Arabidopsis thaliana: one gene and its partners. The protein of the gene in region 4 interacts with the protein of the main gene of each other region in a pairwise test. Each region holds a gene or a part of one and is shown on either strand. Other genes may lie near its edges. The genes, in order: NAC057, ZFP5, HTA10 and AT4G12210.

Evidence for each region.
Region 1: the proteins of AT4G12210 (region 4) and NAC057 interact in a two-hybrid assay, tested with the Arabidopsis thaliana proteins (one large-scale study listed by BioGRID).
Region 2: the proteins of AT4G12210 (region 4) and ZFP5 interact in a two-hybrid assay, tested with the Arabidopsis thaliana proteins (one large-scale study listed by BioGRID).
Region 3: the proteins of AT4G12210 (region 4) and HTA10 interact in a two-hybrid assay, tested with the Arabidopsis thaliana proteins (one large-scale study listed by BioGRID).

What each region holds. Positions count from the first base shown.
Region 1 is NC_003074.8:6,059,915-6,068,760, forward strand, and holds NAC057 (NAC domain containing protein 57), read left to right. Parts: upstream 1-4,357; 5' UTR 4,358-4,464; coding exon 4,465-4,621; intron 4,622-4,757; coding exon 4,758-5,035; intron 5,036-5,593; coding exon 5,594-5,899; 3' UTR 5,900-6,266; downstream 6,267-8,846. Other genes in the region: AT3G17712 (uncharacterized protein), read left to right, coding at 90-311; AT3G17717 (S-adenosylmethionine decarboxylase proenzyme), read left to right, coding at 1,266-1,407, 1,607-1,848; AT3G17720 (Pyridoxal phosphate (PLP)-dependent transferases superfamily protein), read left to right, coding at 2,532-2,630, 2,975-3,166, 3,276-3,569; AT3G17740 (uncharacterized protein), read right to left, coding at 8,089-8,233, 8,311-8,532, 8,722-8,846.
Region 2 is NC_003070.9:3,446,433-3,454,717, forward strand, and holds ZFP5 (zinc finger protein 5), read left to right. Parts: upstream 1-3,258; 5' UTR 3,259-3,301; coding exon 3,302-3,937; 3' UTR 3,938-4,794; downstream 4,795-8,285. Other genes in the region: AT1G10490 (GNAT acetyltransferase (DUF699)), read left to right, coding at 7,157-7,261, 7,350-7,441, 7,681-7,852, 7,934-8,056, 8,136-8,285.
Region 3 is NC_003070.9:18,922,956-18,930,708, forward strand, and holds HTA10 (histone H2A 10), read left to right. Parts: upstream 1-3,855; 5' UTR 3,856-3,992; coding exon 3,993-4,181; intron 4,182-4,278; coding exon 4,279-4,488; 3' UTR 4,489-4,791; downstream 4,792-7,753. Other genes in the region: AT1G51040 (Protein kinase superfamily protein), read left to right, coding at 1-359; AT1G51055 (FBD-like domain family protein), read right to left, coding at 2,331-2,606, 2,714-2,857, 3,204-3,256, 3,348-3,360; bHLH115 (basic helix-loop-helix (bHLH) DNA-binding superfamily protein), read left to right, coding at 5,063-5,175, 5,280-5,477, 5,738-5,800, 5,904-5,981, 6,064-6,226, 6,295-6,558; AT1G51080 (golgin family A protein), read right to left, coding at 6,928-7,753. UniProt on the Arabidopsis thaliana protein: Core component of nucleosome. Nucleosomes wrap and compact DNA into chromatin, limiting DNA accessibility to the cellular machineries which require DNA as a template.
Region 4 is NC_003075.7:7,278,588-7,285,977, reverse strand, and holds AT4G12210 (RING/U-box superfamily protein), read left to right. Parts: upstream 1-4,058; coding exon 4,059-4,670; downstream 4,671-7,390. Other genes in the region: AT4G12230 (alpha/beta-Hydrolases superfamily protein), read right to left, coding at 1-85, 191-289, 469-594, 1,262-1,333; AT4G12220 (uncharacterized protein), read left to right, coding at 2,239-2,730; AT4G12190 (RING/U-box superfamily protein), read left to right, coding at 7,218-7,390.

The DNA of each region.
Region 1 (8,846 bases), on a different chromosome or scaffold from region 4:
CCGCAGGTAAGCCCCATTCCAATTTTTTGATGTTTTTTATTTTTATTTTGTTCAGTTTATCTGAGAACTGATTCGTTCTCTATGAACAGGATCTACTACTTTGTGGAGTTTATGCACAGCGAGAAGCTGCCTCTGGAAATATGAAACATGCAAGACGAGTATTCGACATGGCACTGACTTCTATCTGTGGCCTCCCTAAGGTTAGTTTCAGATCTTTCGGTTATGTTGTTAGCGGAGCATATGATACAAAGTTTCAGGTTTCCACCTATGTCTCTAATTCCGAGGAACTTCTAATTAGCTTTTTATGTTAGGTGTAATTACTCACACTATATTTTTTTTATTCAACTTTTTCTAAGAAAGTAAACTGAAATGCATTTTCTGTTGATGCTTTTTAGTTTCGGTAGAGATTTCAACGAATTAACCGGTCGGGTCGGATTCGTAGGCCTACTGAGATGAAGATTGAATGTGTTGAGGTACATGTACATATTAATTACATTTGCATACACAAGACGTTTTATGAACTTCCCCGCCTCAATAATTAACTTGGGGTATAATAGCAAATTAAATTTAAGGGAAACCCATATTAATCTGAAATGGCCCTTATAAGAAAACAAAAATCTCAATTTGATACCCTAATTTGTTTTTTTTTTATCGGATTAAAATAAAAGAAAACGAAATTGTTCTTTGAGGAATTTGTTTTGCCCTTTTATAAGATTAAACCCCAAATCTTCAAAGACGCTACTCTCTAATTCTTAAGATAATCTCCAGAATCACGAATCTATCTCTCTCGTTTCTCTCTAATTCAATTCCAATGGATTCGCAAGTCCAGTTCTTTGAAGGTGTCGAAAAAAGAATTGAATTCGATTTTGCAGGAACGAATCTCCGCGATGAACTCAACCGAGCCGTCTTGGAGAAGATCGTCAAACCTGTGGAGTGTGTGATCGAAGGGGTTCTTTCCGGAGATCACGTAGACTCGTATCTACTTTCGGCGTCTTCTCTATTTGTTTATGATGATTTGGTAATCATAAAAACTTGCGGTGCTACCAAAATCTTCGAGTGCATCAATGGGATTGTTGCTGCGGTGGGTTGGAATAAGCTAAGATCCATCAAATATACCCGTGGGTCTTTTTTCCGACCCGATTTGCAGCCATACCCGCATCAGCGACCTTGTGACGAGAAAAGATGTGTTAGGCTCGTCCCTAAATCATAGTTCTCTTGGAGGAATTCAAGAGAAGACTTTGGGTACGACTCAACAATGGTTTATCATGAATGTCCCTTTGTCTTCTTCATCTACCACCGGCAAAAAACTACCAACGATTGAGATGTGCATGAGAGAATTGGATAGAGAGAAGGCTGCACAATACTACAAAGATAGAGACGACGGCAGAACCATGATTGATAAGTCAGGTATATAATCATACCTTGATTAATGTTTCTTGACTGATTTCTGCTTATTGAGTCTCCTGAGCTTATCTTTTTACGTTTCTTGTGTTTCGCTCTTTGCTAAATTGTAAATTGTTGCCGTGAAAAGTAGTATAGTTCTCTAGTTTCTTTCTTTCTGACTTTCATATTAACTTATCAGAATTGTGTGACTTTTCTCTTTTAGGTGTTGGGCAAATTTTCCCAGAGGCTACTGTTCATGCCCATGAGTTCGAGCCCTTTGGGTTTTCTATGAACACTGTAGAAGGATTTGCAATTTCGACCATTCATGTGTCCCCACAGCCAGAATCAAGTTATGCTAGTTTCGAAGCAGTTGGGTATGATATCAGCACAGATGAGAAGCTGAACTTGGTGATTGAAAGGGTCTTGAGCTGCTTCAGACCAAAGCAATTTACTGTGGCTATCTAAAATGGTGGAGAGATTTACCCCCAACTTCAGGGCTACAACTGTACGGAAAAATTCATTCTCCCACTTGGCCCAGGTGGTCCAGTCTCCTTTTTTACATTCTTGGCTGTCTAAGTCTCTGGTTCTTTAGTTAGGATTCTTAGGGTTTTTTTGGTTTATTCTGGAGTAATTCTTAGTCTTCTGTTTTGTTTATGACAATTTGTTTTTTGAAAATATATAAATGGAAGATTTTGACACATTGAGCCGTTTACATTACAGCCCACATTCTGTAGATTCAAAGAATTAAAAGTAATTGCAGGCTGCAGAGCATGACATGATATGATTAAGTTATGAACAAATCATACGAAACTGAACAAGTGACCAATGAAACAAAACGCTAAAACACATCAAATAGTATACAACAAGGTCTCAAATATTTCCCCACTGAGAAGACTTTTCTTTTCTGAGAGGGATTCTTAAGAGCTTCAGATGAAGAAGGGCGTTTCTTTGGATCAACATGGAGCAAGTGTGCTACTCTCCTGAGATATTAGAAACACAAACCTATTACACCATTTCGAATCAAATTCTACAACCATTACTGATTCCGGCGGCGAGCAAAGCCAATTCTGACGGTGAAGAGAGGCAAAATCTGGGCACGAGCAGCCGCAAATTTCCAATCAAATTATTCTCAGCCGATCTCAGACGCCATGACTGGAACGGGACAAAAGCTTAACATCCGACGACGGGTTGGAGAGGTAAATTCTTTGTCTTTTTGTTGTTTATCTCCGACACCGACAAGCTTAGACGTCAAATTCATAGTTTTTCTGTTGTGTTGTGTTGATGATTATTTCTGCCTTATATTGAACATTCAATACCCTTATGAATCTGTGTTCTCCTTCTGTAGTGCACCTGAAGTGGAGAAAACAATTTGAATGAAGCAGAGATATTTAGTTAAATCTGATGGTAGTGTAGGTGTTAACGGATATGTTTGTGAAGTGATGTGCGACGCTATGGCTGGAAATACGAAGATGTCACCAGTGGTGACTCACCACTGAGCTCCAGGTTCTTCTTCTTTCCTCTCATTCTCTCCCCATCTGCTTTCCACTTTTTTGCAAATGGTCATACATCTTTTATTTGGCCTATTTTTCAGAACCGGTGTGTAAATATGATAGCAAACTTGTTCCATGCTCCTGTTGGACAAGACGAGGCTGTTATTAGTTGTGGAATTGTTGCTTCATCTGAGTCTGCTGGTTTAGCTTTCAAAATGAAATGGCAACATAGGAGAAAAGCTCAGGGTCTACCTATTGATAAGCCTAACATTGTTACTGGAGTCAATGTTCAGGTCTAAATATTTACTTATTCTTATCCTCCAAACCATCACATTTGCTTTGGATAGTGATCTGTTTCTTTCAAAAATCAGTACATTTTCAAACTTTGTTTCATCCGCTCAGGTGTGCTGGGAGAAGTTTGCAAGGTACTTTGAGGTAGAGCTCAAAGAGGTGAAACTAAGTGAAGACTATTACGTGATGGACCCAGCTAAAGCTGTAGAGATGGTGGATGAGAATTCCATCTGTGTTGCAGCGATTCTAGGATCCACATTTACTGGAGAGTTTGAGTATGTGAAGCTATTGAACGATCTCTTAGCTGAGAAGAATGCAAAGACGGCTTGGGAAACTCCTATTCACGTTGATGCAGCAAGTGGAGGATTCATTGCTTCCATGGGTGAAGAGTATCAATGTCAGTGATCATAAGTATGGACTTGTGTTTTATTGTTCCGTGATCACCAAGCTAAGAGTCATCAACCCACAAACCATAAGCAACCATATGGTTGGTGTAACGACAATTTGCCTCCAAATGAAATAGTGACAGTTTCACAAATGCCAATATAGCTTAATATTAATGCGTAAAGTGGGAAAAAATATTTTTAGTGTCAATAAGCCCAAATATATTAAACTTTTAGTATATATATTAAGGGGCCCAAAATGTTTTTCCCTAGGGCCCTAAATATCGTTGGGCCGGGACCTTACTGTACTACTTACCACTACAACCGCAGAAAGCAGCCCAAATTCCATGTATGTTTCATTTTCTACTTCATAGTCACAAACTAGCTTGAGAGTCAAGTTAATGTTGCTGATACAGAGTCTTTCTTTTACTCTCTAGCTAGTTCCATATTTGTCTGTATGATGGTGCTAACTGCTAAAGGTTGGACTAGGCGATTTGCTTCATCTGATCACATGTACATGTAAAGGCAGATATATGTCTATAACTATATAAGTATATATTATGCTAATAACGAGATCAAACGTGATCCTTTTTTTATAACGAAGGAATTGCAAGGAGCTTGCAAGTAACGTTTGTCAAGAATCTCCAAAAAAGATAAAGCGAAAGATAAAAACAACAAAAAGAAGAACGTCCAGAAAAAAGAAAGAAAGAGAGAGATATAATAATATAAGTAAAGAAAATTTTAATAATTAATCAATCTAGTGACCATATAAGTTATTAATGTATGCGGTCAAGAAAGAAGAATATATATATATATATATATATATATATATAAGTTTGAGTAAGAGAAGATAAATGAGGTGAAGTCATAAGTACGTACCCAAGTCCCAATATTGTTAATTGTCTCTGAGAGTTATAATGGCTCCAGTCGGATTACCTCCAGGCTTTAGATTTCATCCGACTGACGAAGAACTCGTAAACTATTATCTGAAAAGAAAGATCAACGGTCAAGAAATCGAGCTTGATATAATTCCCGAGGTTGATCTCTACAAATGCGAGCCATGGGACCTCGCAGGTATGTATGTTTTACATTTTTATTACATTGTTCAACAACTATATATAATTCCTTGTTCTTGGCGAATAGTCTTATCGCCGCGCTATATTGATATGAACTGATTTTTAGTTGTTGTGATCGATAAATAAAACTGTAGAGAAGTCGTTTCTACCAAGTAGAGATCCGGAGTGGTATTTTTTTGGGCCACGTGACCGGAAGTATCCGAACGGGTTTAGGACGAACCGAGCAACGAGAGGTGGGTACTGGAAATCGACCGGCAAAGATCGGAGAGTGACAAGTCAAAGCAGAGCGATTGGGATGAAAAAGACTTTGGTTTATTATAAAGGAAGAGCTCCTCAAGGGATCCGTACGGATTGGGTTATGCATGAGTATCGTCTCGATGATAAGGATTGTGACGATCCCTCTTCGCTCCAGGTAACTGATCGTTCTTTCATCACTCGATATCTATTTACCAAATGATAGTAATTAGTAAATATATAGTTACTAATATGATCAAATTGTAACTTATATAGAAACAAAAAAGATAATTACGTAGAGATGCATGGCTACTAAACAACAACAACAAAAAAAAAGTAACCAACTTGAGATTTCTCCATTTCTTATAGTAGATACGTTAATAGAAAGATATGTGTGAATTTTCATATACTTTTTAAGATTACCCTGATTTAATGATACATATTCGTTTCTTGCTGTAAGCTGACAAAAGCTTAGGGTTTCGCTTTGGATCTTTACTGCGACGAAGACAAAAGCTATATAGAATTATTTTTTTCTTCAAGAAAAGCTATATCTTATTCATTAATTGTTCATTATATAAGACAAATATTCATGTTCTTTTTTTTTTATCACTCATACTCATGCATGCATGTTCTTTTATTTACTTATGACTTTCATATACTCGAATGAATACCAGAAGATATTTATTCAAGTATATTTAAACATTCTAAGATTGAAAATATAAATGGTTTGCTGCAGGACTCGTATGCATTGTGTCGGGTATTCAAAAAGAACGGAATATGTTCGGAGTTGGAATCAGAACGGCAATTGCAAACGGGACAATGTAGCTTCACAACGGCGTCAATGGAGGAGATCAATTCGAATAACAACAACAATTATAATAATGATTATGAGACAATGTCGCCGGAGGTGGGAGTTTCCTCCGCCTGCGTTGAAGAAGTAGTCGATGATAAAGACGATTCGTGGATGCAGTTTATAACAGATGACGCATGGGACACGTCATCAAATGGTGCAGCTATGGGACATGGTCAAGGGGTTTATTGACTAAAGAACAAAGAGTATACTGAGGCAACAAGAGAAGAGTATAGAATTATTGGGCAAATAACGTAAACATTTAGGTACACTATTGTTGTACTTATATATAATCGTTGAAATAAAACCTGCGGGTTGTTGGGGTAAAACTTAACTGATTTTTTTCTTTCTAATTGTTGGAATGTGTGGGAAAATCACGTGATTTGATTGGATATTGTATTTTTTTTTGTTTTTGTCTTTGTTTTTCATACTCCCTTTTTTTGTTGGATTGATCATTTTATTATCCATTGATTTGACGGCTCTATGGATCACTGGTACCTTTGTTCTTTTTCCTCACATGGGTATTAACCAGATCAACTTAATGGATTGGGAAAATTTGGGTTTATACTTTTATTTGTTCTCTTCTTCTTTTTTCAATTATACAATAACGTGAAAACCAAGTCACACTCAACTTTATAGGTCAGATATTTGTTGTCAGTGAAATTTGGCAACTGACCATAACGACAATCGATAGGGAATTCCAACAGACATCCAATGTATTTTAATTCGAACTTTAATGTATGGTAATAGTCTAATAGAAAAAATTTAAACTATTATCCTATTTTACCAAAAAAAAAATCAATGATCATATATTCCCCAAGAATATATAAAAAAAGTAGTGAAATGTTATCAAAACAAACTTTAATCATATTTTTTTGGATGGCTTCTCTATATTGTATAAAATAACAGGACTAAACAAGTAAAAGCAGAAAGTGAGGGGTTTGATGAAGTGTAAATCTAAGATTCTGATTTCACTCTCTTACAAAAAGAAGATCCCTTGCCTTGCGATCAAGGAGATTGGTCTTTCTTTCTTTTCACGCATCTGTAATACTTGCGATCATCTCGCTTTCCTCTTTCACACTTTGTAAATTCCAATAACCAGAAAAGAACATCACTACTTATACATTTCATATCCCTTTAACAAAACTATCTATATATATGCTCAGCTTCAACTTTGAAAATCCGCTCGACATATATATGTTTGGCGTTTACAGGTACATCTTCTAATGTGGAACTTCTCTAAATGTATCTCCTAATATGAAATTTGCAAAATGGGTCTTTAAAACCCTTGACGTGATAAAGTGACTTGTATGTTCTTCTTATCTTGTAGATATAATTTATGACAAATGTATTGTTGACTGATTCTTGAACCTCTGCGATGTTGTAGGCCTCTTAAGAATGAACGTTTTGTCTAATCAGAATCTCAAGAACGTTTGTCTCACTACAGTCCTCATCTACATGGTTTCCCCAAAATAACGTTTCGAAAGTATAACTTTGTTTTAGGCTGATTAAAATATGATACTATTAATAAAATATGATACTATTAACCCAACATTAAGAAAAAAGTTGTAAAAAATTCAAGAAAGCTCATGTACTATACATCGTCGTTTATTCAGAGCATATAAGAAATTTAAACAAAATCACCTTTCAAAGAAGGGAAAAGGTATTATAGCTGCTCTCTGTAACAAGGAGAGCAGAAATTGCTTTTAAACTTGATGTGATTCAAAAGGAACCGAGATCAAATTAGGAAGATAGACACAGTAAGAAAACTGAAAAATCCCAGAATTGATCTGAATCTTCTTGAACATATCTCCCCTCACCATATAGATGCAAGTAGCTCCAGTTTTGTAATCGCCACAACACATGATTATGGTCTTGTCAAAGATGAAGTAAGTAATACCAGAAAATTAATGGAATAGCAAGGGAAAGTCAGGTATTGACAGTGTCAGTAAGTGTAACCACACCACGTCATCCTTATTACTAATGTTAATCTTGTCCTTTGTTACCCAAATCTCTGTATTCATATACGAGTTTGCTTTAACAATGCAAATCGATCGCCCTTAAATACAGTGATGACAAGTTTATCTAGTGAGCCAGAAACACTTCTCACAAGGAGGCAAAAGAGCATCGATATTTCCGTGGAGGAATCAAAGCTTCCGAGAAAAATACTCACGAGTCTCTTGTAAGCAGTCCAATACAAATTTCCGTTCAAGGAAACATATTCACTTAAACCTGCCAACATTGGCCAATTTTGGGGAGTCAATGAACTTATCGAGTGAGACGCACACTCATAAATACTTAAATGAACTTATACTTGATTATTTATAGAAAATCACGTTTCCATATTACAACAATATTTGTTAGTTGACACTTAAATGATCTCATCCCTGCATAAGCAGAATCTCGTAGATATCTGTCCTAATGTTCAGTTCCTTGTCCCGCATCACTTCTTGTAAATCTGACATCTCTTTTGCCGTCAAGACTGATCCCAGCTTCCCAAACCCATCGAGCCATAGTTTCTTCGACCTGCCATGTCATTATGTTAAGAATTGGTTCTCAGACAATATGAGAAATCTGGAGAAAGAACTCTAGATTTTTCTTACCATGGGCATGCATTTATAGCTCGGAAATAAATCCTTCTAGCTGCTGATGGATTGTCCGCGATGTCGATCTCATATGCTATGTAGCAACGCCATAGAATAACTGAGTTGTTTTGTGTATCTTGTGCCAATGCCCTTTCAAACAATCCGCGGATTCTGTGTGATGAGCCTCCTTTACTCAATTCATAAGAAAGTGCAAATAGCCAAACAACGACAGACGAATTCCTGCATGATTAGATATACTAAACTTGCTTAGCACTGAAATGTCGATATATATAAACCTTGTTCTAGGAGGAAGGCCATAAACATGTAACTGTTAGTCTTTAACCATTTAAGCTAAGCATCTCTATCAACATTAGGCAGTACTCCTGAGATCGGAGGGTTTCTTATTAACAAGTTTGTGAAAAAGCTTACTTGCGGGAGTAGTCATCGAACATCATTCTCAGTTTATGGGATGTCATCCGGTGATTACAAATGTCCACCAAAGCTCGATAAAGTTCAGGATTGAGAGGATACAGTTGCAGTCCCTCTGATATGGG
Region 2 (8,285 bases), on a different chromosome or scaffold from region 4:
GAACATGCATGCGCTAGCTCTAAAAGGGGGTTGGCAATCGGAGTAGTGAAGCTTTCTATATTTTATGCCCGAAACTGAAGATTTTAGTGAAGGCCCAATTGTGTCTGTGTTTGATCCATATTAATATTCACTAGGGTCGGACAGTTAAACCCAACCAAAGCCCTGAACACTTTTCAATCAAAATGGATATCGTAATTGTCACTTTTGAAAATATAGACTAAACAAAAATGAATATAATTTAACCAAACGAAATGTAATTTCATATACCTAAAGAAACCAGGCTTTTTAGTCCACACTATTCTCTGCGATTCAAGCCTATTTTTTTATAGAAAAAATCTCTGCAATTTGTCTAAATATAGAATTATCAAAGTCATAGATATTTTGGCTGACTTTGGAGATCTGCATCGTTCAAGAACAATAGTTTACGTACATAAACTAGGATTCTATCCTACTTTATCTGCGTCGTAATCTTTTGATCTTTTCTCGTCGATATTACATGTGTCTTTTTTTTATAATGGATATTACAAGTTATATATACTCTATAGTTGTTAGCTTATTATGCATGCTCGCTGGAATAGTTTAAGTAACAACAACCTTTGGAATAGTTTTTAAGTAACAACCATTTATTTAAGTTTAGTGGACTTTTTTTTTAATCCCTGGTCTTGGCATTCTTGGTGGGCTTCTTTTCTTTTTACATATAAACTATCAGAGTGCTCTTGGAGTCGTCTAGAAGAGAAGCAAAGGTTTTATTAATAGGGAAGGTGGGGTCCCTCTTTGGATACACTTAATTATCTTCAACATAATTAAAATGGTTAGTAAATTCAACCTGTTTTACATAAAATAAAATAATAAAATCTAGTCCTACTTAAATTTCTCAATTCATCTCTAATACAATCTACATGCATGTGCAAGTTTTTGTTTTTCACTTGCACATGTATACCCGTGTTTGGAACTCTCAATAAATCTTTTTACAAGAAGAAATCTATATATACGTAAATAACTAAATATGTTGTATACAATGTCTCTGTTATGAGAAAAATAGAATTGGTTAATTAGTATTCTTTCTATGTCTCAATGCATGTATTATTATATGTGATACGTACTTCGGTACCTGGCACAGCCCATGATCATATGATATAACTTTCCTTTAAAAGAGACAAATACGACAGCTAACCCTTTTTGGTCAAGACTATAGTTAAAACTTAAACATGGTCAAGTTGCATAAGTTTTACGGACACCGTATACTACTAACTAACGTTTCAGAATGGTTTTTGAATTAGTGTAAAGTTGTTTGATACTTCGATGGCAATATAATATATACAAATATATATGTAACAATTAATATAGAAGGTGAGGTTGATATATATAATTGGTGTATATATATATATATAAGTTCAGTATATCAAATATTATAGAAACCAACCCACCCACCCACCTAGTAGCCACCATAAAGAAACTTTCAGAAAATCATAATTAGCTAAAATTATTCCACATGCTATTGGATAAATAAAAGATTATCGTTGACAGCATACTTATTTGGAATTCTTCTTTCCCTCGATTGATATAATATTACAATTTCTTACTTCAAAATTTTAAATAAAGGACCTGAGCGAGAGGAAAGAGGCTTTGATTGCATGAGACACCTATTGGTGGCAAGAAAGTCTACCAATCAGAGATCTTAGGTTGTACGAGTGAATATAATTATAACACCTAATAAGGATTAATTATTGTTATTTCACTTAATTGTCTTGATCTATCTTTTAAGTTACAGAGCAGTGGGGTCCTTAATTGGAACAACTGTCCAAACCAAATGCCATTTCATTAGACTTATTTGTATTAAAATAAGATTATCCCATGACTTGATTCACCTGAAAATAGAATAATCTATACCTTTCTTTAATATCAGTTTTCTTTCTGTATAAAATATTGTCTTCTCATGCTTTATGAAGATTTGCCCAAGATCTTGTTTTGAAGATTAGACTTATGAATATAATTTTTATTTGTTAAATAGTATAGATGCTTGCATCATTGCCCACTTCTTGTATTCCTTCATTTGGCAACTAACTATTCTCCCTGTTTAATGTAATAAGTAATTAACATTCATTAAACATGGTCAAGATAGGCTTTTTCTTTCTTTTTCACAGTAATTAGACAAATAAGATTTGGTTTAGGTGGAAGACATTGAGATAAATTACAAGAAAGCTTCAATTCATGCTCCATCATCAATTCTCTCTGCGAGCAACTTTAATTGATGGGAAATTTCAAAAATCTACAATGATAATTACATAAAAACACATCAATAAAAAGAATATCCAGTAGACTATTAACTTTGTTAGAGAACAAGGGACGACGATTCGTTTGATTTCGTTCTTGTTGCAATATGCTCTTGAGTGAACGTTTTGATACAAAATGTCATCTGCTCGCTTAAATTTATGATGGATATATGCGTTATTCAAATACATAGTGAAATTTAATATCATTATGGGATCAAAATATTATACTTAACCTTCCATGTTGATTATATTTTTTGGCCTAAGTTGGTTAGCCTTATTTCTTCATATCTTTCTTTGACTTTTGATATTAGATCAATAATATGATATTAACATCTTAATGTTCTCTTTAAGCTTAGAATATAACTTTTGTATTAATTGTCACAAGTGGTGTGATCGCTGCATGCCTTTTCAAATATATTTATTTATTCATCATATCTCAACTTAATCTAACTATTTTATTCACGCACTAAACAGAAAGTATTTTTCCACAATATTTAAAATAAATTAAATTTGATCAATTTTAAGTAAATGTAGATATAATAGTATAATACATAAGATAAAAGATAAAACAAGTTGACAAGTTAAGTCTTTATATATAGTATTTAAAAGATTTCTCTAACCCGTTTTATCATTTTGCCCTTTTTCTTTCCCATATATGCATATGCGCGTGGTATCCACATATATCTCTATAAAACCTATTACATGTTAGTGTAATATTTATTGTACCTATCAAGGTTTATTTTCCAAGATCATTTCTCGTCACACCTTAGATTCAAACAACTAATTTTATTATAAACCCTAAAATACTATAACTTGATGCTGTTCATGACTAATATAAAAAACCCTTCATACAATATAAAATTTCTTTAGACATACAATATATTATACTATTACAGATGCAATGCATCATTAGTTACAAACTATTAAACTAAATATCCCCCGTCTCTCTCTTGCTATATAAAGAAGATCATTTACACATCTCCTTAAGCAAATTAAACCCATCGATAAACACATACGTTCACACATATATGTCTATAAATCCGACAATGTCTCGTACTGGCGAAAGTTCTTCAGGTTCGTCCTCCGACAAGACGATAAAGCTATTCGGCTTCGAACTCATCAGCGGCAGTCGTACGCCGGAAATCACGACGGCGGAAAGCGTGAGCTCGTCCACAAACACGACGTCGTTAACAGTGATGAAAAGACACGAGTGCCAATACTGCGGTAAAGAGTTTGCAAATTCTCAAGCCTTAGGAGGTCACCAAAACGCTCACAAGAAGGAGAGGTTGAAGAAGAAGAGGCTTCAGCTTCAAGCTCGGCGAGCCAGCATCGGCTATTATCTCACCAACCACCAACAACCCATAACGACGTCATTTCAGAGACAATACAAAACGCCGTCGTATTGTGCATTCTCCTCCATGCACGTGAATAATGATCAGATGGGTGTGTACAACGAAGATTGGTCGTCGAGGTCGTCGCAGATTAACTTCGGTAATAATGACACGTGCCAAGATCTTAATGAACAAAGCGGTGAGATGGGTAAGCTGTACGGTGTTCGACCGAACATGATTCAGTTCCAGAGAGATCTGAGTTCTCGTTCTGATCAGATGAGAAGTATTAACTCGCTGGATCTTCATCTAGGTTTTGCCGGAGATGCGGCATAACAAATTAAAGAGAGATATATGATTAAGATTATATGTACTATAGTGGCGTATTTCATTGGGATCATGAAGGGGAAAAAACGAGACATATAGTATTCTTGATGCAATTTGAGTTTTGTAATTTATTTAGGTTTATGTATGTTTTCGAAGAAAAAAATAATTCCAAGTGATGTTGTGGAATTATTCAAAAAAAGAAAAAAAACTTTATTAGATGGCTTTACTAGAAAATTCTCGATCATCATCGTCATCCGATACAAAATAAAGTCAGGTAGAGGATCGAGCATTTATAAATTATGGAATAACAATAAATCGTACTATGGAAGCAAATCATTTTCTTGTTCCTTAGTTTGCTGACCGTACATATACTAGTTGACAAGGTTAATCCATAAATCTCTTTGTATCATTGTGTGCTGTGTTTTTTTTTTTTTTTTTTTAATACTGTGTGCCGTGTTGGTGCATTTGCGTAATTGATGGAGGCAACATTTTGAACATAATCACTTTCTTGTTGCTTAATTAGTGTATATGGCCATGGGTACGTTCTTCCTATTGGTACATATGCATGTATTTATATTACAAGGTGAGTATTCGTTACAAGTTGTGTACATATGTTCTTACACGTGCAATTCGTACACGCCTCAATTTGATTTATAGTCAAATTTCAAAAAATTTGTTAGAAATTTCATCTCAAAAGTTATAATATGATCTAACGTGAGACTAAAAAACATATGTGAATTTGAATGATATAAACTTGATGTTTTTTTTTAATAACCTATATACTTATTGTAGGTACAATCCAACGATTTTATGAATGTTGTATTTTTTTTGTATACACTGTAAAGACGATTTTATGTCATGGCTATTAATATAAGAATATACATTTTAAAAATAAGATTTTAAACTGATGTCTCTTACCAATCTCAAGACGAGTACTTGTGATTCTTCGGAGACAATGAGAAGAGTTTGTAAATTCTGAATACTCCTTAAACGAACAGAATAAGTGAATTTAGTGGTGGATATAACTAGCTTGACTTTAGATCTTATTCTTTCAAATAGATTTGGTGTAAGATTGATTCGACATTTCCCATTAAATCTCCAAACAAATATGTGCATCAATTCGTAACTGTACAGCTTTAAAAATACATATAATAAATGGAGTCGGCAGGTTTGTATATTAAATTAATTTGCGTGATTGGAATGATAAGCTTAAGATCCATCATCCAGTGTTGGAGGTCCCTTTAATTTTTGTCTACACATGTCACTTCCGACACCAACGGAACTCCATTTGCTTATGTGTGTATTGGATGCTTATCCCATTTAATTAAAAAAAAAAATGTTTTTAAAAGGTATTATTCCTTTATTGTCCAATTCGTATGTTTCCTAATTTTGGTAAATATGTTTTTGTTAAGTTTGAAACATCGTTCCTTGCATTACGTATGAGTAAATCATACACGAGCGTATGACCGAGTTGGAATTTACGTAATGACAGATAAATTTGTACATTTACGACATATAAAAATATGAAATCAACCTACATATCTCTTTTTTCCTTTACTATTCTGAAAATTCTAGGTTTTTGACGGAAGAAGTGAAGGCTATAATCACAGAATGGAGGACTCTGTCACGCATTGTGTTCTAGTATGCCATATTTAACACTTGTCAATATGGCTTCGAAAACCGATAATTTTCCCTAACTAAAAATAAAATAAATCTAAGTGGCCACCTAAATGTGTTTAGTTATTATCATACATGCATGCAACATTTTATCATGGCATGTGAAATGTAATCATAATGGAGGATAGACTGCTTACTACTTAAAACAATAAACCACTAATTATCAGTTTTGAAATGATTTATTTTTGTTTAAAGAAGAGATAATGTTATATAATGTTGTGGGAGACAAAGATAGATCCAAGCCAGGTAAGGTTAGCTTGTTGATCTAAATTGATTAAAGCATTTGTTGAACAAGACTTCGCCATCTGTACCACCCATTCTTCTTTCAATTATGGATTATAATTTAGTAAATATCATATATATGCCTCCATTATAACTTTTATTATTGACATTATTGCTTTCTTAAAAGCAAGTTTATTTATCAAAAACTATTGATTGGTCATTGTGAAACGTTATATTTGACCGTCAATAAAACTATACATAACGCAATACATACATTATTATATCAGGTAAAGACTAAGTTATATTAGTATCTTATAAAATGACAATAACATGTTCTACGTAAAAAAAAAGGACAAGGATTATCGGTTACTTTAATAGTTTGAATGATTCTTGATCTAATAATTAAAACATTGGCGTTAGATGTAAGTTTTTGAAATTTAAATTGATTTTAAATGAATCAGTTGATCTAGACAATTAATTTGGTAGAACACCGATCAGAGACCCTTCTTCCAGAAACTGTGATTATAAAACGTGTACTAAGAGACAAGTAAAAATCTTCGTTTTTCTTAATTTAATGCATAGTTGGCTATTTGCGTGCATCATTATTTGCACAATAGTAAATATTCGATTCACGTCGTGTGCAGGAACCCATTCTTTTATCACTTCCAGTAACTTATGACGTTTTAGGATATGAAACATATTTCACCGTTGATCTTGTTTTCTTGTTGTTGTTTAATATCATTCACCGTTGATCTTGTTATTGAGTTTTTCTTTGCTTTTCAATTCGGTTTTATGTAACCGCTAAAAATTAATGGAGAAGAAACCCGTCTTATACCTACAAACCGGGAAATGTGAAGAAGAAACAAACCGGTCGGTTATTGAATTTTAGGGTTTTAAGGTTTTGACCGATGGTTGACTTAGGGCGCGCTTCTCTGCTTTGGTACACACACACACACATCAAGCTGCTTCTTTTACCTCTCTTCTCGCTTCACTCACCATCCTCAGGTTCGTTCTCTGTCACAAACATTACTTCCGACGAAAGAATTAATTTTACAGTTAGGAATTGTAATCAGTGCGAGTAAGTACAGGAATCGAAGCCGGTTTTGTGTTTCTTTTGCTTGATTTTTCTCCGTTTATTCTCAACTTTGAGACTTTTGCTTCATTGGTTACCCTATAAAGCTTGAAACTTTATTCGAATTGAGATGTTCCATTAGATATTTTCAAACAAGTTCCTGCCTTTTTACTCTACATTAAGCTAAAACCTGTGTTTGATTGAATTTTTGATTTCGGCTTAATTAAGGTTAGGCAAAACCAATAACTGGTGTGAGAATGAGGAAGAAGGTAGACGAACGTATAAGGACTCTGATTGAAAACGGTGTTAAACTTAGACACCGTTCCATGTTTGTCATTATTGGTGATAAGGCTCGTGACCAGGTAAAATTCTTCTTGTTATAGATAATTTCTACTTTGCATTTTCCTCGGATTTCAAGTCTAATACTTTTCTGATTCTGTTATGTAACAGATAGTTAATCTTCATCACATTTTGTCAAAATCGGTGGTCAAGTCTAACCCAAGTGTGCTATGGTGCTACAAGAATAGACTCGACATTAGCAGGTTTGATTTATCAACCGATTCAAATATTAGATATTTGCAAAAGTTGAAGCGTTGAAATTTTGTTATTAAAAACTTAATTGAAGCCTAGTTAATAATTAGGTGTGAGTTTCTTTTGAATTTTCCATGCCAAGAGAATGATGGAACCTGGTTTTGTGAGCTATGTTACGCATATTTGTGGAGTTCTATTTGTTGATAACTTGGTCCTGAAAAAGAGTGGGTGTAATTGGTTTTGTGTGCAGTCACAATAAAAAACGTGCTAAGCAGTTGAAGAAGATGAAGGAGAGAGGACAATTAGATCCTGAAAAACTCGACGCTTTCTCTCTTTTTCTTGATGTGGTGGATGTTACTCATTGCTTGTACAAAGATTCTGAAAGAATTCTTGGGAATACTTTTGGCATCTGCATCTTACAGGTACTCTTGATTAATGGCTGAAGAAACATTTACTTTTGCTGCAGCTTACTCATATTTGCATCCTATTCTTACTATGTTCAGGATTTTGAAGCTCTAACTCCAAATCTACTAGCAAGAACAATAGAGACAGTCGAAGGGGGTGGGCTAGTTGTATTATTATTACAATCGCTTGCTTCACTTACTAGTCTCTGCACCATGGTTATGGTATGAAGACTGATTTTGCTAGTTATGTTGTTTGCTAACTACTTATTTGGAGTTACATGATTGGTTCTGTTCATATCAGGATGTGCATGATAGATTTCGAACCGAGTCACACTCTGAAGCTTCCGGACGTTTCAATGAACGATTTCTGTTGTCACTAGCATCTTGCAAAGCATGCGTTGTCATGGATGATGAGTTGAATTTATTGCCACTTTCATCTCATATCAAATCT
Region 3 (7,753 bases), on a different chromosome or scaffold from region 4:
TGAGGTTCGAAAATGCTCATTTCAAACTGAGCCACGAAATGACCCAGTTGCTAGATCCTTCAGGTGTTATGAAAAGCAAAACATGGCATCAGTTTGTGAGCTTGTGCGTCAAGGGATACTTAGCTGCTCGCCGGTACATGGACGAAATCATTAGCACGGTGCAAATGATGCTAGAAAGTGGATTGCCTTGCTTTAGCAGAGGAGATCCAATAGGTAATCTTAGGAAAAGATTCCACCCAGAAATGAGCGAACGTGAAGCTGCACTCTTTATGATTAATGTATGTACCGATGCTTATAACAAATGGACTACTGCTGGATATGACTTGATTCAGTATTTGCAACAAGGCGTTGAGAAGTAAACGAGAATTTTTTTAATAAACCAGAGTAGAATCAAAGTAAAACAAAGTCTTTATTTGAATCAATGAAAGATAATATCCTCAGCATAGGCACATCGATAGTAAATATCATAACATTGGTAAGGGAGCTTCGTTTCACTACCAAATCTTCAAGACTTGGGCATATGCTTAGAAGCGTTTTCACAGATTCATCACTTGAAAACTTAACCAATATTAAGTGGAGACGTTTGAGACAGATCAAACGAACATCACGTGGAACATCCTTCAAACTTAGTTTCTCTAAAGTAACAGTATCAAGTTGTGAAAACATGTAAAAGCTATTAGGCAAATCGAAGGAATTAAAAACCATCTCGATTTTTAGCTCTCTCAAAGATCGAGCAACTGCGATGTTAATCAAAGGTTTGATGTCTCTACTTGGACAAGGAGGAGTCATCTTGAGCTGCATGGTCTCAACGCTTGGTCTTTTGCTAATAAATTGCACAAACTTTCAGTAAGTTCTACCTATGGATTCACCATCATACCTTAATGTTTTCCCCTCCTTCCAAAGAGATCGCCATCGTTTTGACAAGACACTTGTGACTACCACATCTTTACTTGGAAGGGAAGAAAGTATATTCAATAACAATTCATCTGAAAAGTCACTGATTGAAGCCATAATTACAAATCGGTGAAAAGTGAAAAGTTCACGAAAAGTACTCACTAGATTTATTTAGAAATCTATTTTTTTTTGTCCCTAAGTGTTTCTTTTGTTACAAACCTCCTTATGAGAAAATTTTGGCAAATAATTGTTTTAACCAATCAGAAAATACCATTATACAAAAATAATCACCAATTACATTAATCCTTTAATTTCGAAGATATCGGCAAAAAGTTGGAAGCGAGAGAAAATTATTGTTGGTTTCTTTGCAAATATAACATGCACAAATCGAGAAATAGTCCAAATGTTTTAGTAAAAAAAAAAAACCACCAATCACAATATTTGGTATTTACCATTCAACTCTTTTTGTTTTGTTACTTTACGCCCTCAACTATAAATACGATTATTCCTCAAAATATTTTCATTTATCATATAAGAAAATAAAAAACCGTGACTTTCAAGTAATATCTCAAATATTGTTAAAGATTTTAGTCCTCTAGATTAGAGCTGAAATAAAAAACTGTGATTTGCAAGATATATTGTCAAAGATGATCAGTCATCTAAAGGTTTCAGTTATCTACACAACCACAATAAACGATTGCAAATTTTCAATCTTTGGCTATCGATCTATATATATAGAGGATGAACTAGGCTTTCAACTACTATGGAACTGTCATGTAAGGCTTACATTAAAATATCTTATAGTCAAGGATCATGTGTAGAACTATGCATATTCATAATTTGCCATTTCCTTAGTTTTTGTTAATCATTTTGTTTTTTTTTTGGTCGCAAAATTTCATGTTTTTTAAAAACTTTTTCAAGGATTTCATTTGTAAGCTTTTCTTCATTTTTGTCTCAGTGTATTAGTTTTTTTTTTTAATTGTCTCTCTGTGTACTAGATAGTTATCATATTAACACTTACTAGTTTTATCTTTATGAATATGATTTCACATCTTATTTTGTAGCGGAACTGGCCTAGTGATATAGATAGAAACTGGTCTTGTGTATTGGTTTGTCTAGTTTATATTATTCGTTTTCTTAGATATATATATTTAATATTAGTTTCGTCCCAAGCGTCACTCGAACCAAAAGGATGGTGACTTCACGAGCCATATAGTTATGTTTATGATTCTTGTCTGTACCGATGCTTATAACAATTGGACTACTGCTGGATACGACATAATTCAGTATTTGCAACAAGGCGTTGAGAAGCAAACGAGAAATTTATTGATAAACCAGAGTAGACTCAAAGTAGAACAAAGTCTTTATTTGAATCAATGAAAGATGCATATTATTCTCTTTGTAAATAGCTACAAAGTTGTTAATAACACAAGCGTTTAATCAAACACAAGCTGGCATTTCTTTGAACCTCTGGCCATACATTCTAACTCCTTCAATATCCCATGCTTTTCTGCAGATTCTAAGTAGAATATCGCCTTCTTTAGACGACTCGCGTTTTCTAGAATGTACTTTGCAACTTCTCTCTCTTGCTCTTCACCATTGTATTGCCTCCACTCAAATATCTCAAGATATGATGATAAACATATGGGAACATAATCTGGTTGCTTCCATGGTTCCATCGACTCGTTGTACTCGACACAATGTTTTCGATACTACAGAACAAAGAAAATATACATTCTGTCAGTGTCAATAGGCCTTGGAGAAAGTGGAAACATGATACAAAAAAGGCAGCAGAGAAATCTAGGGAGGAACCATATACCAATTTGAGCTTGAGAACTCGAAGTTTTGGAGCATCATCGAGTATACAGGTAAGTAAGTTCCACCACTCCGTAGAACATAAACATAGCTCCAGATGGTCAAGATAGACTAAGGAAGTCCCAGTAGGAGGATACGGATCCGGATTCTGCAAAACATAGAGAGTAAGAATTCAAATAGAAAAGGCTAGATTCATGACTAACAACCAAAAAAGTTTGTACCTCTGAAGTGACAGAACACAGAGAAAGATATTGGGTTGAAGCAAGAGATCCTAGAAACTTGTCAACACACTTTTAATCTGAATATAAAAACTAATCAAAGATATGAATACATAACTCCTTTTGCTATTACAAATTTCCATTAGAAGAGATAAAGATCAGTCATTAACTAAGTAAGTAACTAACCCAATTGTTAAGTTTTTTTAAATGAATGATGGGACTTGATTCTCTTTCTTCTAAAGTTTGATTTGTTCTTCTACTATAATGATCAGCGACCTTACGAGCAAAATTCTTTGTGTTATCATCCTCTTTTAAAATCTCAGAATCACCTGATGAAAAACCAGAGAGACACAATGCACACAACTCTCAGATATAAAAGATTGAAACTTTTAAGTTTGATTCAGAAAGCAAATTACAAACCACAAAGATTCATATCATATAATGTCAATCACTTACTGGAAACTTCATATAAAATCAAAATTGAAAAAAAAAAACTGAATTCGAATTATGAAAATCAAAAAGGAATGAAGCGGGAACAAAACCTTGGGGATTTAGTTTGAATCGTGATGAAGAAGGAAGATCAGAGCTTGAGGGAGATTCGAAATTTCCTCGCTTCATAACAAAATCTGAGAAATAGATTTGAAAAACAGACAACACTAGGTTACAAAAACTGTTACTCGATGAATAAAAAAAGAGGACTTTTTCAAATCTTCACACACAAATTTCACAAAGAACCCGGATTCAATTTTTGAAAATTGGGCTCTTTGGTAAAATGTAAAACGTTTGGGCCGAAAAAAGAAGAAAAAAACAAAACTGTAAAGAGGCAAAGAGGATATTTTGGTAATTCACTCTGACGCGGATCCTGAATCTCGAATTATTCACCGTTGATTATAACATTATCTAACGGTGATAAACAGCGATCCGCGTAGTTTCTTCTTATTGGTTAAGACGAATCTAAAACAGTATATAAACTCTGGAGAAGATGGAGAGAGTCCATAACAACAAATTCGATTCTTATAACTGTTTCCCTCTCATCTTTACACAAAAGTATTCTAATCGATTTCAATGGCGGGTCGTGGTAAAACACTCGGATCTGGGTCTGCGAAGAAGGCAACAACAAGAAGCAGCAAAGCCGGTCTCCAATTCCCTGTGGGTCGTATCGCTCGTTTCTTGAAGAAAGGCAAATACGCCGAACGTGTTGGTGCCGGAGCTCCGGTTTACTTAGCCGCCGTTCTCGAATACCTCGCCGCTGAGGTAATTCCTCTTCCCTATTCTTCAAATTTTCGATCTTTTAGTTCAATTTCTATAAACCCTAATTTTGACTGATTTTGGGGAAATTTTGAAAAATTAGGTATTGGAATTGGCTGGAAACGCAGCGAGGGATAACAAGAAGACGAGGATTGTTCCAAGGCATATTCAATTGGCGGTGAGGAACGATGAAGAATTGAGCAAATTGCTTGGAGATGTGACTATTGCTAATGGAGGTGTGATGCCTAACATTCACAATCTTCTTCTTCCTAAGAAGACCGGTGCTTCCAAGCCATCTGCTGAAGACGATTGATTAATCAACCAAATCCACTCTCTTGTGTTTTTTGAGTTTTTAAGGCTTTTTAAGAGTAATTTAGATTAGATCTATGGTGAAGAAAGAATCTATCTTCTGTGTTTTTTGAATTGAATTGAATGTTCATATGCTTTCAATTTCTTATGGAATCAAGATTTTAACTTTTCTAGGTTTTCGAGTTATGATGATGAAATTCTTAGTCTTATAAATCACTAAAGACTTGGGATTTTTGATTGGTTGACATAAAGAATGGACTTTTGAGTTAAATTTGGGAAAGCTACTGGGAATGACATCATGAGAGGTGTATAATTGAGCAACTATGACATATATTAAAAGAGATCTGAAGGATTGATGATGATTGGTGGGCCAATAATGTACAACATCCATGAAAATGAAAGATCAAAATTATATAATAGAAACCGATTGAGAGAGAAAGAGAATCCATGCCTAGCACTATACCATATCTCTTTTTTCTTCCGTTTTTCCACACATTGTCTCTACCTTTCCCTTTTTCAGATTTGACCCTTTGTTTTCAAAAGAAACGATTTTTAGTAGCCGCCGGGGAATCAGGAGAATGGTGTCTCCGGAGAATACGAACTGGCTTAGTGATTACCCTTTGATTGAAGGTGCTTTCTCTGATCAGAACCCCACTTTCCCTTGGCAGATAGATGGCTCAGCTACTGTCAGGTTAGTTTTTTGTTAATCAGATTCAAGGGTTTCTGGGTTCTGTGTTTTGTTTCTTTCACCATCTATTAGTTTTGTTTCTTGGCTTTGGACTTTTGGTGTTTTAGGATTGGTAGTTATATCTGGAGAAGTTGTTATGGATGTGTGATCACTCAGTTGGTTTTTAGATGCTCTTGTTGTGATAGAGATATTGGACTTCTGCATAAATCAATCCTCTGTTTTTTTTTTTGTCTCCGTTTTGCTTACGTTCCTCTGTTTCCTAAAGAAGTAGACGAATCTAGATCTCTACCAATTGCGAAAGGAAGGTTCTGTAATTAGTATCTGGAGAAGTTCTTTATGGAGTTTGACCTTGTTGATCACTCAGATTGCTATTAAATGGTCTTCTTGTGATAGAAATATGAAAGAACTGAGAACCTAAAGTATAATGCTTTTTCTCTCTGTTTTGCATCCATTCCTCTGTTTCCTTAAGCAGTAGACGAATCTTGCTTCTATTCTGGAATTCTACAAATTGGCTGTAATCTTTGTAATTGATCCTTCCTCTTGTGTTGATGTGATCTGTTCACAGTGTTGAAGTGGATGGCTTCCTTTGTGATGCAGATGTGATCAAAGAACCAAGTTCAAGGAAGAGGTATCAAACGCTATTTGGTCAAACCTGCGTTAACTAATGACTTTCTTGTTCTTGCTATGCAATATTGGAACCTGTTGTAAAGTTTTCCTTCTTACTGCTGCAGGATCAAAACTGAATCTTGCACTGGTTCTAACTCGAAAGCTTGTAGGGAGAAACAAAGACGTGATAGACTAAATGACAAGTATTTTCTTGCTTTCTCGTCATTCTCTTCTATCATTTACCTTTTGAGTTCTTAATCTTTTGGTATGGTGCTTTGTCAATAGGTTTACGGAGTTGAGTTCCGTATTGGAACCTGGGAGAACTCCAAAAACAGACAAGGTTGCTATTATCAATGATGCAATTCGCATGGTGAATCAAGCAAGAGATGAAGCGCAGAAACTAAAGGACTTGAACTCAAGCCTCCAGGAGAAAATCAAGGAGTTGAAGGTAAAAACTGAAAACTCCTGCAAGATCTTTAGCTTGTCCATTGATCTTATGTATATGCCAATATGTAGGATGAGAAGAACGAGCTGCGTGATGAGAAACAGAAGCTTAAGGTCGAGAAGGAGAGAATCGATCAGCAACTGAAAGCTATTAAGACACAGCCTCAGCCTCAACCTTGTTTCTTACCAAATCCGCAAACACTCTCTCAAGCTCAAGCTCCTGGAAGCAAGCTTGTCCCTTTCACAACTTATCCCGGCTTTGCAATGTGGCAATTCATGCCTCCTGCTGCTGTTGATACCTCACAGGACCATGTCCTTCGTCCTCCAGTTGCTTAAAGCTGCTGCTTCTCTCTACTACTATTAACGGTTCTGTAAGATTACTTCTTACGCGCTTTTTTCTGATGTAATGATTCTCACATTCTGTGATTGGTGACATAGTCCACTGCAACTTAAAATGTAAAATTGAAATAAGCTTGCACTAAAAATCAAATCTCATTGTGCAAAAAGTTGGATAATTTGGAAATCATTGTTTTACAGATTGTGGATTCAGAGGAATATGTAAATGTGTAGGAAGTTTCTTTGAATTGATTGATTGATTCAAGTTTAGCATATAAAAGCAAAGTTTGTATTTTTCAATTACACAAACTCAAAAAGGATTTGCTTTTTGCTTCCTTTTGTGAAATGTTCTTAACCCAAAGAAACTTTTCATTGAGACCTTCTCTTGTTCATGACTTTCTTCAACAGACTCTCACGACCAGGAAAAGGACTTTGAATCTTTGGCTCAAGTTGCTTCTCTACATCTTCTAGCTTTCCCAAAACACCCTTCTGCTCACTTCTATTCACTGTCTTGCCATCATCTCTCCCAAGACTCTGTCTCATCCTTTCTCTCCTCTGTTTTCTCCTCCATCCATTCTCATCTTCCTCTTCTTCCTTCTTCTTAATCTCTCTTCTTCTTACCATTTCTCCTCTCTCTTCTTCTTCTTCGTTCGCCTTCCTTAACCTAGGAATCCGACCACCTTTGCTTGTCCCTAAAAGCTCAAAATTGATTTTGCTCCAACCAATCTTATCTTCATTATCCCAACCAAATCTCTCACTAATCTCCAACAACATCGAAACAGAGTTTACCTCTTCTCTACTCTTCCTTACAGAAGTTAAAGCTCTCATGCTCTCATCACTTCCATGGAGGATTTTCTCTGCAAATTCCCACTCAGTTCTATCTTTATAAACATCGTCTTCGAGCACTTCATCAGCAAGCTTTGCCCAATACTCAAAAACTCCTGCACGAAGATTCTTTGAGACCCATTTAAGATAAGAAGAAGGCAAAGTACCAAGCATTTTGCCCTTGTGTTTGCCGAAGTCTATGATTGTGTCTCTGGCGGCTAGGGTTTCGATGATTTGAAGTTTTTTGATTAAGGGTTTAGACTGATTGGTGGAGAAGATACCATTAGATGAAGAAAGATTTCTTCTTGGTCTGAAAGATGATGATGATGAGATTCTGAAGATGGTTTTTGTTGTTACTGCAGCAGAGTGA
Region 4 (7,390 bases):
GAACTAATGATTTAACCCGCCTTGGACGGTGATGAGCAAAGAGTTGTGCTAAGAAGCCTCCAAGGGAAGTACCGTAGAGATGCACCTATTAAGAATGGTCAAGTACAATCACTTACAATGCCATATATTTCCGCACCAATAAAAAAATTTAGGAACTTAGATGGTGATTTGTAACTTAAAGAGATCTTACGTGATGAACATCAATGGTGTCCAAGAACTTCTCAAATGCTTGAATCCACTCATGATAATTCCAAACCCGTGGAATATCAACTGAGATTACCCGATAACCCTGGAATTGCAGATTTAACAACATAAGTTCAACATTTTTGGAGATATCTAATCAGTCCCCAAGGATCACATCAACACATAAGCATCTAAGTTACCATATCCTAACAAATGTTTAAAGCTACCTGTGATTAAGAAAAGATTGTTTGCAGATAACTGTTGAAAGACTAGAACTTGACAAACCTTCATAGAGAGTGCCATAATCTGTTTATAGTAAACATCTGCAGTTCCTGCAATTCCAGGAATACATATGAGCGGAGGAACAGTCTTTGGACCAAAGTCATAGTAACGCCATTGCTTTGTCCCAATCTGCAGTTAGCATGCACATAAAGCTAGATATTTATAAGATTGTTTATGCTCTGAGCAAATGACATTCCAAGAAAAAACAAAAAAAATGAAATCTTTCATTCCGAAGCTTGAAACAGTGGACATACATGTACAAATGCTTAACAAATCACAGTTTTCCAAACTCTAAGCAACACAACCCGAACAAACATTACATCTATAGAGCCATTCAATAGTTGCTTGGGATTAGTAGAGCTAAGAACTAAATATGCGAACATAAACAAAGACAAATCACTAAGTGTGTCACAGGCTACTCATAGATCAAATCAAAAGCAACACTAAAAGAATCTACAGAAGTTAAAAAGATCAAAAATGGAGAATACCCATCACTAAACTAAAGACTACCAAGTTCTTGCTTTTAGACAAGAACCCAAAAATTAAAATTCTAAGCATAAAATTTGAACCCAAACTCAGCAGGATAAACCCATTTACGATAGAACTACTCACACAAAAAATTCTGCATAAACCCAAACGATTAAAACCCACATGAGATTAATCGAAAATCAACAAAAAAAAAAACAAAAATCAAAACCTCAAAAGCTCGAGATTAAACCTAATTTAGTAGCCGAATAGAATGCAGAATCGAAAATTCATCAAAAGTCAAAGAGAGAGAGAGGAAGAAGAAACATACGGGAATCTTGTGAAGAGGAACCTGAGATTTAAAGTAGACGTAATCTCCGGGCGTCGAAGAGACGCCTTTCATCGCCGATCGGAGATTTTCAACATCCGATCGAATTTATGTATTTAATTTCGCTTTTGCTCTTCACGAACAACTTTGCAATTAATCTTTTTTATTTTTTTTTGCTCTGATTTTCGATAGGAATTATATAACGGCGAGATAACAGAGTCTCCTATATCAACTGCCTGTCAACGTTGACGCCGTGAATGGTCCGTGATTGTAGCAGTCATTCTCAGTTAACGACGTAAAGTATGTAATAATTAATGGTCATCATGTGACTCATCAACATCTATTTTCACATATGTTTTGATTAGATTTCGGTATGAATCAATTTCCAAGAATATTTGGATTTTGATATAATTTCTTTCATTTTATTGATCTGTCTTTCCCAACCGAATTACCCATATTTTTAATATATTTGGAATAATTGCAGAAAAATGCACAAACTTTTCTTTATTTTTAATTTTTCATAGTGCAAATGTAAAAGTAGATAATTTAGCACGAAAGATTCGTATCAAACCGTATTATACCATATATGTAAACAATATTTTTTGGGATTAACTATTTTGAATTCTAATTAATATCGGTTGCCAAAAATATAAAGATCTATTTTACGTACTACTCTTAAAATTAATCGAGAATCAGTTAAAAGAAATAAGTAACATATATCCACCTGGAATTAACATTGTCTCCAATATTTAGTAAATTATCGACCCAAAACACATGGAAAAAAGGAAACTTCTTAAAGAAAAGGAAATTTGTTTGATGACAAGAAAAAAGGACACTAGAACCTGAAATATGTGACTATACTACGTAACCCTAAAGCTATTCACAATTCTCTTCTCTCTCAATTTTCTCTCATTACGATTTGCGAAGTCGTCTTCTTCTCTGTTTGAATCTCTTCTCTGTTTTTCTTTTCGTTTCAAAACATGAAATATTGCAAAGTGGAATTACGCTTCATCAACCAAAGGAAACTCTCTCCATCACAACCAAACTCAGTTCTCGTTTTCATCGAAACCAAATCTGAAGAGATCTTTGTAAACCCAACAACCGGTCACCAAACCAGCCGGTCCACTCCGGCTTCACCATCTTTTTTCGATACTATCAATCTCTGTAGTTCTAGTCACCACCACATCCGATCACTTCTCCGTAGTCGGTTCGTTAGCTACCATTTTTTGTGTGATATCTTAGCCCCAGAGATCGCGACGGAGGCAATCAACTTAGGTTTTGGACGAAACGGCTTTACCTTCACCGTGGTCGTCACAGTTACTAACCGGACCGTCTCCGTTACTTCAAACGACACAGAAATCATTGAGAATGGTTCTACTAGAGAGGATAAAAGCAGAGGAATTAAAGAGTTCGAACATGGAAACAGAGTCGTGTTCCATCTGTTTCCACGATCTCTCCAGTCCGAAACCTAGCGATCTCCCACGCATGACTTGTTCTAAGAATTGAAAGTATTAGGGTTTCATCTACTGATTGCATAACTTGTGTCACACGTACGCTCTATATTGGGGAAATTTTATGTGATTTTGTTTATTAAGGTTTCAAATCTAATTTTGTTTCATTCGCTCTGTGCTTCCAGAAATTGAATGTAATTTTGTGCTTTTAAGGGTTTTAAATAAGATCATTGGACCATCATTAATGGGAGGTTATTAACAATGGCTCTTAGCAATAATTTAGGAATAGATTTTGAAAATTTGGTAGTTAAGAGTTTGGGTAAGATTTTTAAGTTTAGTCATCCTCAATGATAGTATATTAAGTTAGGATTCTTAAAAAAAAAAAGATATGATTTTGGTTTATGTGTGGTTTTGTGGAGAGAAGGAATATATGCGATGAAGTAATTGGTGGTGTTTGGTGTATTGACACAAAGATATAAAAGAGATTCATAATTGGTATTTAAGAGTTCATAATCAAAACAAATTTTTGAGAAAAAAATGATTGCTTTCTGCATTTTTAGAGTTAAAAAGCTAGACTTTGAGGCTGAGACCTACTTATATTGTGTTACAGGGAGTGTATTGAGCTAAATATGGCTATAATACAATTTGGAAGTACATGTGTTGCTCAATAAAGTATTCGTCCTCAATTTGCAGTCAGAGCTTATTATCCCAGCAGAATCTAATCAAGTCGCCAACAAAAGTATGATTTTTAAGTCTCTGGATTGCATTGAGTTCTTGACATAGAGGTATTGAAACTAGTTTGATTTACTTTTCTGTGGCTTTAAGCCTTTCAAGGATTTTGATTTGTTTTCATTGCACATCTTAAGATATTAGTCTTCGTAGAATGAAGTTTGTATTTTCCCATGGCCCACACATAGTTTGCCACATCATCGTCTCTTACCATCATTTTTCGCCTCTTGTATAAGAGGCCCTCTTAAGTTAATACATCCTTTAGCATTTAATTTTATTCTCAAATTAATTTAAGAACCCACTAAAAACTTACCAATAATTATTGCTAAGTCTTAAACTAATAAGTAATAACCAAAACCCCTTCAAATCAAACTCTACAAATAAAACTGTTAAAAAGGAAAAAAGGAAACTTCTTAAAAAAAAAGGAAATTGTTAGGTGACAGAGAAAAAAAGGAAACTAGAACCTAAAATATCTGAACGTTGAAGACGCGTATATATATCCTCACTACGTAACCCTAAAGCTTCACAAATTCTCTCCTCTCTCAATTTGCTCTCGCTAGTCACTACGATTTGCCAAGTCTTCTTCTTCTACTTCTCTGTTTCTCTTTCCGTTTCAAAACATGAATTCTCGCAAAGTGGAATTTCGCTTCACCAATCTTCAAAGGAAACTCTCTTCTCCATCACATGCAAACTCAGTCATCGTTGAGATCGATACCAAATCTGAAGAGATCTTTGTAAACCAAACAACCGATCACCAAACCCGCCGGTCCACTCCGGCTACTCTATCTTGTCTCGACACTATCAATCTCAGTAGTTCTAGTCACGACCACATCCGATCACTTCTCCGTACCCGATTCGCTAGCCACCATTGGTTGTGTGATGACCTAGCCTCAGAGATCTCAACGGCGGCTATCGACTTAGGTTTTGGACGAAACGGTTTTACCATCACCGTGGTCGTCACAGTTACTTACCGGACTGTCTCGGTAACGTCAAACAACAAGAAATCTTTGAGGATAGTTCTACTAGGAAGGATAAAAGCAGAGGAATTGAAGAGTTTGAAGATGGAAACAGAGTCTTGTTCAATCTGTCTTGAGAATCTAGTCTCCGGTCCAAAACCTAGCGACCTCACACGCATGACTTGTTCTCATGTCTTCCACAATCCCTGTCTCTTGGAGTGGTTCATGCGTAAAAACACTTGTCCCCTGTGTCGGACGGAGCTCTACGATCGATGACTGGAACCAAAGATTGATATTAGGGTTTTATGTATGAAAATTTCATGTAATTTTCGTATTAAGGTTGAAATTATGGTTTCCATTAGAAGTTAGAAAAAGATTGAAATTAGGGTTTTCGATAGAAAAAAATTCTAATTTTGTGTCACACACGCTGAAGAAATTGAATGTAATTTGTTGTTTTTAAGAGTTTTACTCAATTAGAGAAGTTTTTAATCACAACAAAAAACTACAAACTTTGTCGGTTTTAAGTTATTCACTTGCAAGTTGCAACTCTTAAATTCTTAACAAAATAACCAAAACCCTTCATCAAGCTGTTGCTGAAATTAAATCATGATTCATATGTGTCTTCTTCAATGTGATTGTTTCACCTCTCACATGAAGTCCTTCTGCAGTGTGTCTTTATAATATCCTTATGCAATTTCAACTCTTTGGATAATACTTCAGCTACTTCAACATATTTGCTAGTCACCAATCAAAGTTACGAAATATTGACACTTACAGAGATACATACATTGGCACTTCCCACAAAGTATAATTCTTCCTAAAATGCTCAAGCATTATTCCTTCTTGGAACAGATGCTTCTTGTGCTTTATAAGCATGTTCCTTCGGCTTCTCAGAGTTCCTAGATGGACAGTCGTTTTTGTAGTGGCCATCTTCCCCACAAATCCAGCAAGCCCCTTTCTCTCCTTTGGATTTTGACCTATCTCTACTAACAGACCTGCGTCTCACATGAAGTTCCTCTGCAGTTTCTTTATATCCTTTGGAACTCTTTGGATAGTACAGCACAAATCACTTCGTCTAGCGTAAGGTCATCAAATTAATTTGGTAAAGAAATCAGCAAACGTATCGCTTTCGTCTTCAACTAATCTCTCAAACTCATCGATGTTTTCCTCAACAGACTGGCTTTCATATATCCTAAAACTACACAGCTTATATTGTAGGTAAGTCCTGCCAGTCCTACACTCTACACTACCAGCAGATCTAGCTAGTAATGTAGAGTTTGTCGAGAACATATAACATACCAGCAGCTGTCTTCTCCTTCATAAGTTTCTTTCGCAGATTCTGATTTTCTACGCTCTGAACAATCATGCTCATTGCCTTTCTCTTCTTCTCTTCTAGATCTAGACTCAAAGCTACACAATGACTCTTACCTTCATCTGTTCCAACAGATTTGTTCTCATCCTCCTCAATCTTTAAAGCATCAATCACATCAAGAATCTCAAAACGAGCAAGGATCTTCGTCTTCCCCAAAATGTAATCACCTCTCCCATCAAACTTTTCAATCTGTTCTGGCAAAGAAATCATCAAATATATAGCCTGATCTTCATCAAATATCTCTACTTTAGCATTACTTAGTTCATCAATCAACCACTGAAACTCATCAACGTTCTCCATAACAGACTTGCTTTCGCCCATTCTAAAACTATGCAACTTTTCTCTCAAGTAAAACCTCCTAGCTAAAGAAGTAGTCATATAGTATTTGTCTACAACTTGTATCATACCAGTAGCTGTCTAACAGTCATTTCGTCGAACAACTTCTGTGCACAAAAAAAAATACTAAAACAAAAAACGTAAATTGTCTTACAGTGCTCTATCATAAGCTAGAACATACACAGGTCTATTATATGAGAAGAATTACAATGAAATTAAACGAAAAGAGTACTGAAGTTTCCGTAAAAGCCAGAGCCATCACTGCAAACAAACGACGTCTCTCTGTTTTGCATTATCAGTGAAATTACAGTAACGTCACAGAACAAAACAGGAAGAGACAAAACAGTTAACCAAAGGTTAACCGGAATTGAACCAAGCATATTTAAACAAAACCACACCACATAATTAAGAACCAAACTTCTCCTAATTAGCCATAAACAAGATTATGCATCTCATCCCATAATCCATCAGGACTAAAAGCCCAAGTTAAATTGTCGACCCAAATTAAAAGCCCATATATAAAAAAAGGAAATTTCTTCGTGAACACGCTTTATATATCTCTGTCACTACGTAACCCTAACTAAAGCTATTCACAATTCTCTCTTCTCTCTCAATTTTCTCTCAGTTTGCTCTCATTACGATTTTCGACTTCTTCTTTGTGTGAATCTCCTCTGATTTTGTTTTCTTTGGGATTTTCTCTGTTCGTTTCAAAACATGACTTCTCTTGAAATGGAAGTTCACGTCAGTGGAAGGGGACTCTCTCCATCAGAACCAAACTCAAACTTAAACCAGTCATCATAAGCGTCGAAAACATATCTGAAGAGATCATTGAAGACCAAACAACCGGTCGCCAAACCCGCCGGACTCAGGTTTCAGAACCTTTTCTCATCAATATCAATCTCTGTAGTTCTAGTCACGACCACATCCGAACGCTTCTCCACGATCGATTAGTCGGATACCCCTTTTGGAGTTACTTGTGCGATGACTTAGCCACAGAGATCTCAACGGCTGCAATAGACTTAGGTTTTGGGCGCAACGGCTTTACCTTGACCGTGGACGCTACAGTTACTTACCTGACCGTCTCCGTTACGTCAGACAACGAGAGATCATTGAGGATGGTTCTGCTAGGGAGAATAAAAACAGAGGAATTGAAGAGTTTGAAGATGGAAACAGAGCCGTGTTCCATCTGTCTCGAGAGTCTAGTCTCCGGTCCTAAACCTAGGGACATCACACGCATGACTTGTTCTCATGTCTTCCACAATGGCTGTCTTTTAGAGTGGCTCAAGCG